Sus scrofa: one gene and its partners. The protein of the gene in region 1 interacts with the protein of each later gene in a pairwise test. Links are inferred from orthologs where the notes say so. Each region holds a gene or a part of one and is shown in the gene's direction. Other genes may lie near its edges. The genes, in order: KPNA3, ERCC3 and MAT2B.

Region 1 (3,747 bases):
GAGTATTCATGACATGCCAGGCACTGTATTAACGGAGGGATTCAGCAGTATACCTAACGTCCCTACCTAACTGAGCTAATTCCGATACGGTAAACCAGATCGACACACACACATATCACATACATACATATATACATGTCAGGTGGAAATAAATGCTAATTATAAAACTAAAGCAGAGCAAAGGAACAGCGAATGAGGGTGGCTGCTATTTCAGGAGACCCCCGTGCCACCCTCCCCCCCCCCCGCCCCCGCAAAGAAGCAAGAGAGCAAAGCACCAGCCGTGCATCGGTTTCTAATTTTCTAGGCTACACGGAGCTAGGTGCACCTCCCAGGAAGCTCCGCCCCCTCCCTCCCAATAGGACGCAAGGTGCCGTCTCCGAGGAAGCTCCTCCCACTCCCCGCCCAGAGGCGGCCTTGGGGGCGGAGCCTCGCGCCCGGGCTCCCTGAGCGCGCCGCGCATAAAGACGCGCGCTTAGGGTTCCCGGCATTCTTCTGATTCTGTCAAAGCCGGGAGAGTTACCCTCGCTAGGGAATGGCATGCTGGGAACTGTAGTTTCCTCCCGCAACCCCGCGTCCCGGGGGCAGTAAAAGCTGCTAAGTTCGGCTCCATTGCTGGCACCATACTTGAAGCCCGGCGGGGTTGTGGGGAGGATTTGCGGAGGGGCTGGGGCCGGGGTCATCCCGAGTACCACGTGGAACTTATCCAGCCCGGCGAGCGTCCAGGCCGGAGCCCGCCCCGGACACGTGACCCCGGCCTCCACAAGAGCGCGCCGTTCCAGAGCACGGTTCCCGCCCCGCCCGTCTGTCGGCCTGCGCCTCCCCCGGCGCTGCTGCCACCTCGCGCTCGGAGGCGTCACGGAACGTGCCCGCCTTTCCCCCTCCTCCTCCCTTTCCCTCCCGCTCTCCCCCTCCTCCCCCTCCCGCGCCGAGACTCGCCGCCGCCGCAGCCGCAGGAGTAGCCGCCGCCGGAGCCGCGCGCAGCCATGGCCGAGAACCCCGGCTTGGAGAACCACCGCATCAAGAGCTTTAAGAATAAGGGCCGAGATGTGGAAGTGAGTGTGCTTTCGCTGCTGGGGCCCTCCAGGCTCGCCCGCCTGGCCGCGCCGGCCCCGAGGCGGCGGGGAGGGGCGGGGGGCCGGCGCCGGGCTGGTTTTCGCCGGCTCGCGGTGGGTCGGAGTTAGCTACCGTCTCCCGTCACCGCGGCCAGGGGCTGGGCGGAGCGGGCGGCGGGACGCGGGCCGGGCTGCAGCCGCCTCTCGAAGCTGCCGGCGCGGAGTCCGGGAAACGCCGGGGTTTTCGGCCCCGTCACGCGGGCGCGGCCTGCTGTCGGCGAGGAAGAGATGTGGAGCTGAGGCGGGGTCCGCGGGCTGGGGCCTCGCGGGCTGGGGGGATGCTGCCGCCCGGGTCCATCGACCGCCCCGCCGAGGGGGCGGCCACGGCTCGCGCCCGCTGCCCGTGCAGCCTCCTGCCCGGCGCGGCCCCCTCAGTGCCTCCCGCGCTGCTGCACATGGAGCCTCGGCTCTGCCGGTCCCCGCGCCTACCTTCTGTGAGCCGGGCCCAGGCGGGCGGTGGCGGCCCGCAGAGGGGGGTGGGGACCAGCCGGGTAACTGACTTGTTTGAGGGTGGTGAATGGGGGAGGGTAGGATGCGCTAGGACCATTTTCTTATATTCCAGTGCGGTTCTTTGGACCAGTCGCGCTTTGCTTTTCCAGCTCATACTCCTGTTACTGCTGGCATTTGGAGCAAGCTGAAGGTGGACAATAGTTTACCGTCTATTGTGTTGAGGCTTTGGAAGAGACGTTGTTCCGACCTCCGCTCACAGGACCTCTTTTCTTAGCCTTTTCTTGTAGTGAGGGTGTGCATAGGGTAATCATGTCTTTGAAACGTTTTACTGAAATAAATTGGATACATAGGTTCATACGGCCTTGCGCTAAGCTGGTAGAATTTCCAAGTGGTTGCAAAACTGTAAACATTGATCGTGTTCACTCAGTTCGTTGCTACTCAGCATGTTGCCATTGTCTCATTAAGGTGACATTAGCAGGTACTGTTTGCAAACTCGGCTTGTCCAGGCAGCGCTAGAGGTCTCTCTGCAGCTTCTAAAAGCAGTGTAGTTAGTGTAATGCACAAACTTCACTGGGACTCTGACCTCTGGATTGTTGGGGGAAAGTGGTTTCAGGTCCACAGCCTTCTTTTCTTTTACTAGGTGACATGATTTGCAGTTTTCTCATTCTTGCTAAGCGGCCAGTGTGACGAAGAAGTGCGCATTTTATCCTGTCTTAAAGAGAGAAGGTGGTGGGGAAAATATACCGTTCAGTGTTCTGTTTTGTAGAAGAACAGACAAAACTGAGGCCGTTTTTCGGAGCCACAAAATTAAATAGTAATTGGAGAAAAACGTAGGGAAATGCCTTGGAATTTTCATATTATTGAGACAGATAAAAGTCATCTTTTTTCTGTCCTGGTCATTGTTCAATTTTACAGTGAGAAATACTTGTAAGCAAAAGTGCAACTTAAGAATAGCAGTAAGAAATTTGGAACTGCTTCTTGTTATTGGTCCTCTTGATGATAGGTAATTTTGAACCGTAATCATCAGTCATTTTTCTTGAAGCTTACCTCTGTCATAAAGCAAAACTTAATGTAGTTTGAAAAATACTTGTATTGTTTGTACAGAAGAACTAATTAACATTCTTCCCCCCCCCCTTTTTTTTTTGCCTCTATTGTGTTTGGGGATCTCAGTGATACCTAGTAAGGACTCCTTTGCATAATATGCACACAGTGTATCTCTGCTAAAGGTCAGAATGTGATCAGTGACTTCTAGATGCATAAAAAAGATATGAAGCCTGAAAATAGCGGTCACATTACAATTCTTAGAATACATGAGGGAGAATAACTAAGGCATGAAATAGCAGACATTCAAATGGTAGTTCCATGTGGCAGCCACTATACTAAGAGCTTCATGATACCTCTTTTAAGCCTTATGACAACTTTATGAGCTAGGTGTAGCATTATCACCACTTTACAGGAGGAAAATACTTTAGATGAGGAAACACAAAAGTGCTTATACAGTCTGCACAAGGTCATGAAGTGGGTATGAGCATTCATTCATTGGTCTACTGGGTATCGAACAGTGTTTGGTTTGTAACTCAGGGATTTTTACTTTTATAGTTCAGTAGGAATGATAGGAAAGTAAACTGATGATTACAGTGCAGGACATCAATAAGTGTATTCTGAGACTGCATGAGAAGATTTTGACTTGGAGCTGAATGGTCAGGGGAGAGTTCTGGTTGATTCCTGGTGGATGACTGGGAGGGAGCTGATCCTGAAGGATGAAAGAAAGATGGCCAAGGAAGGGGCATTCCAGAATGAGGGAGCAGTAATTGAAGAGTCCTGAGAGACTGTAGGACTGCTGAGAGAGATGGATACTGGAGATGTGATTAAAGGGTCAAATCCGATCAAGCGCCTTTTTTGTGAAATTTGGTATAACTGAGATTAGACCCCCCATATAGTCTTATCCATTAGGAACTGTATTACACTAGAAACTTACATTGCACCTTAGCTCTGTGACTAAGTAGTAGTGATTATTAGGCTATTCAAAAAGTGAGATGTACTTTGATGAGCTTTCATTTCTACCTTTTCATACATGGGATAGATAAAAGGTAAAACATATTATGAGTGATATAGCTGGACGATACATAAATAAGATGCTAGGTACAAAAATAAAATAAATATTTTTAAAGAAAATAACAGTGTG
Region 2 (3,747 bases), on another chromosome or scaffold:
GGTACGTATCCGTTGGTCTCTGGTCGGAGTAGGACCTGGGCTTTTTTGGTACCCAGTCCTCTGGAGAAGTAGGAGCCATGTCATCATAAGCATAGAATAGTCTCAGGCAGGCACACAGCAGTTGGGGTCCAGCAGCCCTGCTCAGACTCCCTCTGTCAATGCGTGAGTCATGGGGCCTTCTGCTGCTCTTCCTGCCTCCAGCTTCTCCCAGTGGATCGGTGGAGGAGGGGGCCTCTGATGCAAGATCAGGTCGTTAACTCTTTATGGTTGCCTTATAAAAAGAACATTAGATGTTGGTGGGAAAATGTGCTGGCCTAGGATTTGGGATGCCAAGGTACTGTAGCCATCACTGTGCTAGTCTGAGCCCTGAGGTTTTACTTTCTTGGGGAACCCTTCCAGGTAGCTGGCAGAGCTCTGCGTTTAGTTGTCTGCTGAGCCTGGTCCCAGGGAGCTGCCAACATCAGAACCATGCATATATGTCTGGTCTTCCAGCAACCAGGAAATTCTGAAGCTCTGGCAAACTTCCATTGGCTGAGCCATTTGCTTTCTTTTGTTGACACAGATAGGATTTATTTATTATGTCAGGATTCAATGTCTCAGAGGGTTTTTATTAGTGGGGGTGTGCAGAGATGTTGGAAACAGGGGACTACAAGGACATCTTAGAGCGTGGAGGTTCCCAGGCTCTTGATTTGTGAAGGACCATAGGCTGCCTTTTCGGATACTTTAGATCATGTCTTTTCCACATCGGTTTAGGGAGCTGATAGAGTTCCCTTTATTAGCCTTAGGGAGAAAACAGGGGCAGTGATGCTTTCCAGACTTCTTGTGCTGAGTGAGCTCTAGCTCAGGACACTTGGGACAGTTTTTTGGAGGATTTTCATTGTGACCTTTCTGTCCATCTGTGAAATACTGTGCTGATAACAGCATTCATAGCTCCCGATTCCTGGGAGAGTTGTCTGGGTAAGAGAAGCAGCAGATCCGAAGGTGCTCTGGGTGCCTGAGCCCATGGCTTTCTGTTCTAGTCGGGCCCCCCTGGCTGGGAGCACCAGCTTAGAGTTCCCCGAGTCACCACCTTGGAGTTTCAGGAGTGGTGATGAAGCCAAGGCAAGGCTGTCCCATGTCTGGTCCACGTCAGTGGCCACCTGAAGGGCTCGGATCCTTCCTTCTTAGGATTTTCTTTTAATTAAAATGGTGAGAAGAACGAGAGAAAGCGTTCCCTTTACATAATCAATCCAAGCTTTCTTCAGGGATGGGTAGGCCTTGTAGTAAGTTATCTCCAAAGAAATGAAAACCTAATCTCTCTCCACTGTGCTATTAACTTGTTCTTTTAGGAAAAAAATCTTTCAAATCCATTCTCAGGATGCTGTCATTTGTCAGTGCTCCGTCCTGCTGGAAGCCTTGAGTGTCAGGCCTGGAAATGAAGGCGTTGTGGGACAGCAAGCCTTGTCTTTGCCTAGGTCCCCTCCTTTACCTGTGCAAGATGGGGAACAGCCAAAATGGTGGGCTTGAGGTTGCCAAGGTGCCTGTTTTTGCTCTTCTGTAAGCAGTGGTTATCTTACTGTATGGGGAGCAGATTTCTCTAGAATTCCTAAGCCTCCTGCCATGCAGTCCTTAGTTGAGCCCCTGGTTAGTGGCAGCTCCTGGAGCTGTCTCTGCACTGCCAAAGAGGAGCCTCCATTGTTACCACCTGCTCTACTGGGCCTGGGAGGGAAGTGACCAGACCAGGTCAACCTAGGAGAAGGTGGGATCGGGCCGAGGGAGAGAACAAGAGGGTTCTGCCTGCAGGTGATCACAAAGCTTGCAGGCATGGAGGAGGAGGAGTTGGCATTCTCGACAAAAGAGGAGCAGCAGCAGCTCTTACAGAAGGTGCTGGCAGCCACTGACCTGGATGCTGAGGAGGAAGTGGTGGCAGGGGAATTTGGCTCCAGATCCAGCCAGGTGAGTGAGCGGGTGAGGCTCTTGATGGCATTTCTCCCGAAGGACATAGACACACATACACATGCACAGTTTGCGTGTGTGTGTGTGTGTGTGTGTGTGTGTGTATTTTCGTCTGTATGGTATTTTTAATAACCTGCAAAACACAGAGAATAGTAGGAACTACCTGTTGCTGTTCTGTGCATCTGTCTGGCTTTAGGTGTGTGAGCCCACGGTGGCTGTAGTCAGTCCGTGCTTTATTCACAACAGTCTGGCGTAGTGTTTGGCACTTTGACGTTAGAACCCAGGGTACCAGATGTGACCCAGACTTGCTAGGGTATTAGCGGGAAGGAGCGTGACGCACCTAGGGCGAGTCCCCTCATCTCTGACTTCCTCCTCAGTGATGAAACTGCACCTTCTTGCCTGCGGGATGGGTCTGAGACAGTTTATGTTGTAGTTTCAGCACATACTTTGAAAAATTTAGACTTCTCTAAAAGTGCTCAACTCTTCAGCTATTCTGCAAATACTGATTAGTTGCCTGCTGTTGTGCCAGGCGAATGTAACATAGTGTAACTGATGAAGAATTCTTACCAGGCCTCTCCAAGGAGAGTAGAGTTTATTTATTTATTTATTTTTGTCTTTTTAGGGGCTCACTAGCGGCATATAGAGGTTCCCAAGCTAGGGGTCCAATCAGAGCTCTAGCCGCCAGCCTACACCACAGCCACAGCAATGCCAGATCTGAGCCATGTCTGTGGCCTACACCACGGCATACAGCAATGCTGGATCCTTAACCCACTGAGCGAGGCCAGGGATCGAACCTGCAACCTCATGGTTTCTAGTCAGATTTGTTTCCTCTGCGCCACAATGGGAACTCTGGAGAGTACAGTTTAATCAGATACTTTTGAAACTGAGCTAATTTTAAAGGCACAAGGTGAGCAATGGCTGGAACAGGCAAGAAAGAGGTAGTGTCAGCAGGGAGGTGCCACCTTCCCTGCAGCTTCAGGCTGCAGTGAGACCTTTCTGTCCCCAAACCTGGGGGCTGCCTCTCCCAGGCAGTCTCCACAGGAGCCCCAGGGAAAGCTTTTTCTGAGTGTGTCCCAAGGTGATGTGTGATCAGTTCCACCTCCAATAGGTCCACCTGAGGTCAGGCTGTGTGAGGTGCTGCTTCAGGGCTGTCTGTGTACATGGAAGCTGGAGCTGAGAGCCTGGGTTCAAGTCCTGTCTTTTTAAGAATTGTGTGACCTTGGGCAAGTTACTTAATTTCTCTGTGCCTCAGTTTCTTCCTCTGTAAGACGGAGATTATAATGCTTGGGAGGACTTGGTAAGTTAAGACATGTAAATAAGGATAAGCTGCTTAGAACACTGCCTGAGACATAGTAAGTGGTCAGTAAATGTTACTGTAAAAACAATAAAAGCTATGAAGCTTATGCATTTATGAAACATACTGTGATTATAAATGTTTTGGGAGAGTCTTTCCCCATGGACACTAACGCTGGGCTGTGTCCCCTGCAGGTTTCTCGGCGCTTTGGCACCATGAGTTCTATGTCTGGGGCCGATGACACAGTGTACATGGAGTACCACTCAGCCCGGAGCAAGGCGGCCACCAAGCACGTGCACCCGCTTTTCAAGCGCTTCAGGAAGTGACCCCCACAGGGTCATGTGCTGGACATTCGTGCTCTGTCAGTAGCATCAGCTAACCAGTCTAGACTCAGTATCTATGGACTGTTGAAGAAAATGCATCAAGAGCTTGAGTCTGTCTTCACGGGTCATCTAGATTTAAAAGTGGAAGTTGGTGGGACTATATATATATATATATTTGGGTTTTTTTAAGACTAC
Region 3 (3,736 bases), on another chromosome or scaffold:
GTATATATAACATATATATGTTATATATTTTTTTGGGGGGCTGCACCTGTGGCATGTGGAAATTCCTGAGCTAGGGACTGAATCCGAGCCACTGCGGTGACACCAGATACTTAACCTGCTGAGCCTCATGGCAACTTCTAATGAATTTTAATTTATCAGATTTAAAAAAACTGTATTTTCTTAATCACTGACAGACCCTCTGCACGTGTCATAGTTCAACTACGTGCTCTGTACTTGAACTGGGTAAAATATAAAAAGTTAACTGATTTTTTTTACGCTCTATTTGAATGGCAATTTTTTGGTGGTTGTTCTTAAATTGTTACAGAGCGTCAATGCAGTGGTTCAAAATTTAACTGAGCATATTCATCACATTTTAAATCGTTAACAGTAGGATTGCTAGGTTCCATTCCTACAGAGCGATTTTTTTCCTGCTGTGCTGGCAGCTCCGGGCAGCTCATTGGTCTAGTAGTCCTTAATGCTCTGCCAAACTTGAGGCTACTCCATTTATCATTTCCTCAAACAGAGGGCAGGGCACTGTTAATGGAAAAAACCTATCAAGATTTAATTTTTGGTGCTGTTACTACCAGTGTGTTTTTACCATCCTTTCAAATAGTTAATTAGAAAGCCCTGGGGGGAAAGCACTGGAGACCTTTACCAAGAGGATTCTGTTGTAATAAACCATAACTCAATAAAATATTTCACAACAGGAATCAGTTGCATTGTCTGGGGTGCTTTCCAAAGACAGGCTCTTGCTTTTTTTTGCAAAAGAAAACTGCAACAAGTCTTCACAGACTTGTTGTATCTTTATTCCTTAAAAGAAAAAAAAAAAGTTGGTTCTCCTAATGGTTTTGATAATGGGCTCTCACTTGGCTGGCAATAAAACATGAAACTTCTCATTGGGTATTTTCAAGACTGCCACGGGGAATCAGCTGCCAGTTTACTGCAATGTGGAAAACTGCACGAGATTCTGGGATCGGACTCAAAATGCTAATTTCAAAGGTCGAATGAAGCTGTGGCTCACGTTTTCGTGTGCCTGAGCTCTCAGCAAGCAGAAGAACAAAGACCCAGCTCGAGAAGGCAGAGGCAGAGACCCATCTCAAATCTTTTTTCCTGAGATAATTTTGGAATCATGCCTGAAATGCCGGAGAATATGGAACAGGTAAGAGCTAGCTATTCAAGAAAAGAAGCATTCTGGAGTTAGAGTTTCCTTAAAAGCACCCCAATGAACAAATGATAAAAACCGAAAGGGTGTGTGAAAAAACAGAAATGAGTGTCATTCCTTTCTTTAAAACATCACTTTGGGACTTGACTTGGAAGAATGAAGTAGCTAATTATTAACCCTGTATGGAGAGTTCAGCTAAGTCTCCATTAAAAAAAAAAAAAAATCCCAAACAACAGTAGTTTCATTTACCAGATTAATGCAATGCTGTAGGTGAAAGTTATATATAAATAACGATTTTATCTTTCTTTGTTTTGGCATGGATTGAATCTGCTAACCTAAACTTTATCTCCAGATTACTCTTTTTAAATTTATAGTTTTAGCCACTAAGTGAACTTGGATATTGTCTGTATAATAATAGCGTTTTTATTTACACTGAAATTTCCATTTTTATAAAGAATGATTAAAACCCATATACGAGCATATGCCCCTAGGGATCATACCCAAGGTTCCCCTGGCGAGTATCATATCAGATTCTCAAATTTAGGCAAGTAAATTCCTTTATTCCTCTAGATAAGTCTGCTCTGAGAATCAAAATGCTAATTGCATATGCATATCCTTAAATCGTCTTCACGTTGAACAATCAATTTTTTTTTCTTTTGTAGAGATTATAACGCATCACTGTAAACTTTACAAAAAATCCTCAGTTTTTAAAGAGAGGAGGATCGGGAGAATCTTGAATCCCTCCCCCCAGTACCACCGACACCTTTTCTTTGTTGCAGATTATGCGCGGTTACTGTTGGGGCAGTCCTCTCTAGGACTCTTAACAGTGCTAATTGATTTATAGCCGGGATTGAAACAAAAATTGTAAAGTGTTGGGGGGGCCTCAGGCTCTCCTGCTATTGTTCCAAAGAAACCTGATGCTTACACAAATAAGGAAATGAGTTCTTGTGGGGGTTGGGTAGGAAAGAAAGTCACGGGACTGAGACGTGGAAAAACTTTTTTTAAAGGCTGCTTGCCTAGTGTTCAGCTGGAAGATGAAACCAAAAAAAGCTTTTATGCAATTAACGTCGTTTTAGAAGAATCCAAGCAGTAATCAACATTTCTGGGCGACTTTTATTAGAGTCTCTGTCTTCTGTGTGTCTGGACAAAAACACTCAGACTGTTCAGTGGAAAGCTGGTGAACCCTACACGGTCCATGCTCGGATTTTTTCTGAGTAAATTTCACCGGCATCCCGGCTGGCATGGGACGTTTTGGTTTTAAACTGAAAGAAAATACGGTTGCGTGCTAGGTCAGCTTCAATGCTTAGGGCTGTTTTAATTTGTTACTTTAAAAAAAAAAAAAAAGGGTGATACAGGTGGTAGAAGATCCGTTGGTCTTTTTCCCCTTTGGTTCCTTTCATTTTCCGAGGTAGCAGAGGCGCCGCTGTGTAGCCAAATGCTGCAGCCTGTAAGGCGGTGCTTCTCAAAGGGTGGTCTTGACTCCAGTTATATCCCCTAAAATGTGGAGCCCCAGGCTCTAGTTCCACAGCTCATACTGAAGTTATTGGTAAAGTACGAGAACGTACGTTTTAAAGTGGCACCCAAACAATTCACCCCCAGACTCCCACACCTTTTTATTTTTAACTAGTTAAAAATAGTTTGCCATTTTTGGAATTTCACACGTACTACCTTTGTGCATCCCAGAAAGACAAATGGGTTCTTCAGAGGCTGATGACTCAGATGTCAACACATTTATTTTTACTCCTCTCTTTATAAAATCTCTCTCTCAAAAACAAAGATCCCTCATTGCTCTAGGGATACATGTCCAATTGTGCTTCCTCTTCCCTTGCCTCATCCCTCCTACCATATCTTTAAAATGTTTTGTTCCACTTTATGTTTTACGTGCCCAGTTAATCCTTATGCACTGCGCACAGTCTACAAACTTGGAAGTCCAGGCGATCCAATTCAATTCTTACCTAGTCGAAAAGGGAAAACTAAATAAACATCCCCAGTTCCTCCTCCCAGCCCGCAAACAAAACTCAAGAGTCCCGGTTTAAAGCTGAGGCCTTTGTTTCAGGTAGCCCTTTAAGAGTCGGCGCGTGGGCTGGGAGCGTCCTGAGCGCGCCCGCCCCCTTTTTGGGGCGTCGGTGGAGCGTGGCCAATCAAGAGTGTCGGTCTTGGCGGCGGAAGCCGGAAGCGGTGGGAGGGGGCCGGCCCGGACCAGGGGAGGCGGGCCTAGGGCGTTGGAGCTGCGGCTTACGGCGTTCTTGGGCTGGAGGAAGTGGCGGACGCTGCGGCGGCGTCGCCAAGACGGCGGGCATGGTGGGGCGGGAGAAGGAGCTCTCTATCCACTTTGTTCCCGGGAACTGCCAGTTAGTGGAGGTGAGGGAATCGGCCCCGGGTCTGGAGGCGGGGTGGGGGGGGGGGACGTCTCGTGGGAACCGAGTGAGCGGAGGGGGACGAATCTGGTGGTGGGGCTGGAGTACTTTTCCAGACGCATTCAGTCGGAGCTGAGGCCCCGGGAGGCTGGGGCGGCGCCGCCGAGTTTGTTTATCTCGGTTTCTGTGTCTTTTCTTAGCAGCTGCGACAGGATAA

What was found.
Region 2: the proteins of KPNA3 (region 1) and ERCC3 interact in binary tests that used the Homo sapiens proteins (3 or more experiments, as listed by UniProt). The link is inferred for Sus scrofa from reciprocal best matches to the Homo sapiens genes KPNA3 and ERCC3.
Region 3: the proteins of KPNA3 (region 1) and MAT2B interact in binary tests that used the Homo sapiens proteins (3 or more experiments, as listed by UniProt). The two-hybrid records come from large-scale screens. The link is inferred for Sus scrofa from reciprocal best matches to the Homo sapiens genes KPNA3 and MAT2B.

Annotation. Positions count from the first base shown.
Region 1 is NC_010453.5:17,947,257-17,951,003, forward strand, and holds the start of KPNA3 (importin subunit alpha-3), read left to right. Parts: upstream 1-953; 5' UTR 954-983; coding exon 984-1,052; intron 1,053-1,364; exon of another isoform or gene 1,365-1,390; coding exon of another isoform or gene 1,391-1,546; intron 1,547-3,747. UniProt on the Homo sapiens protein: Functions in nuclear protein import as an adapter protein for nuclear receptor KPNB1. Binds specifically and directly to substrates containing either a simple or bipartite NLS motif.
Region 2 is NC_010457.5:25,220,522-25,224,268, forward strand, and holds part of ERCC3 (TFIIH basal transcription factor complex helicase XPB subunit), read left to right. Parts: coding exon 1-1; intron 2-1,782; coding exon 1,783-1,935; intron 1,936-3,423; coding exon 3,424-3,555; 3' UTR 3,556-3,747. UniProt on the Homo sapiens protein: ATP-dependent 3'-5' DNA helicase/translocase. Binds dsDNA rather than ssDNA, unzipping it in a translocase rather than classical helicase activity. Component of the general transcription and DNA repair factor IIH (TFIIH) core complex.
Region 3 is NC_010458.4:60,271,339-60,275,074, reverse strand, and holds the start of MAT2B (methionine adenosyltransferase 2 subunit beta), read left to right. Parts: upstream 1-846; 5' UTR 847-1,129; coding exon 1,130-1,159; intron 1,160-3,431; exon of another isoform or gene 3,432-3,460; coding exon of another isoform or gene 3,461-3,523; intron 3,524-3,736.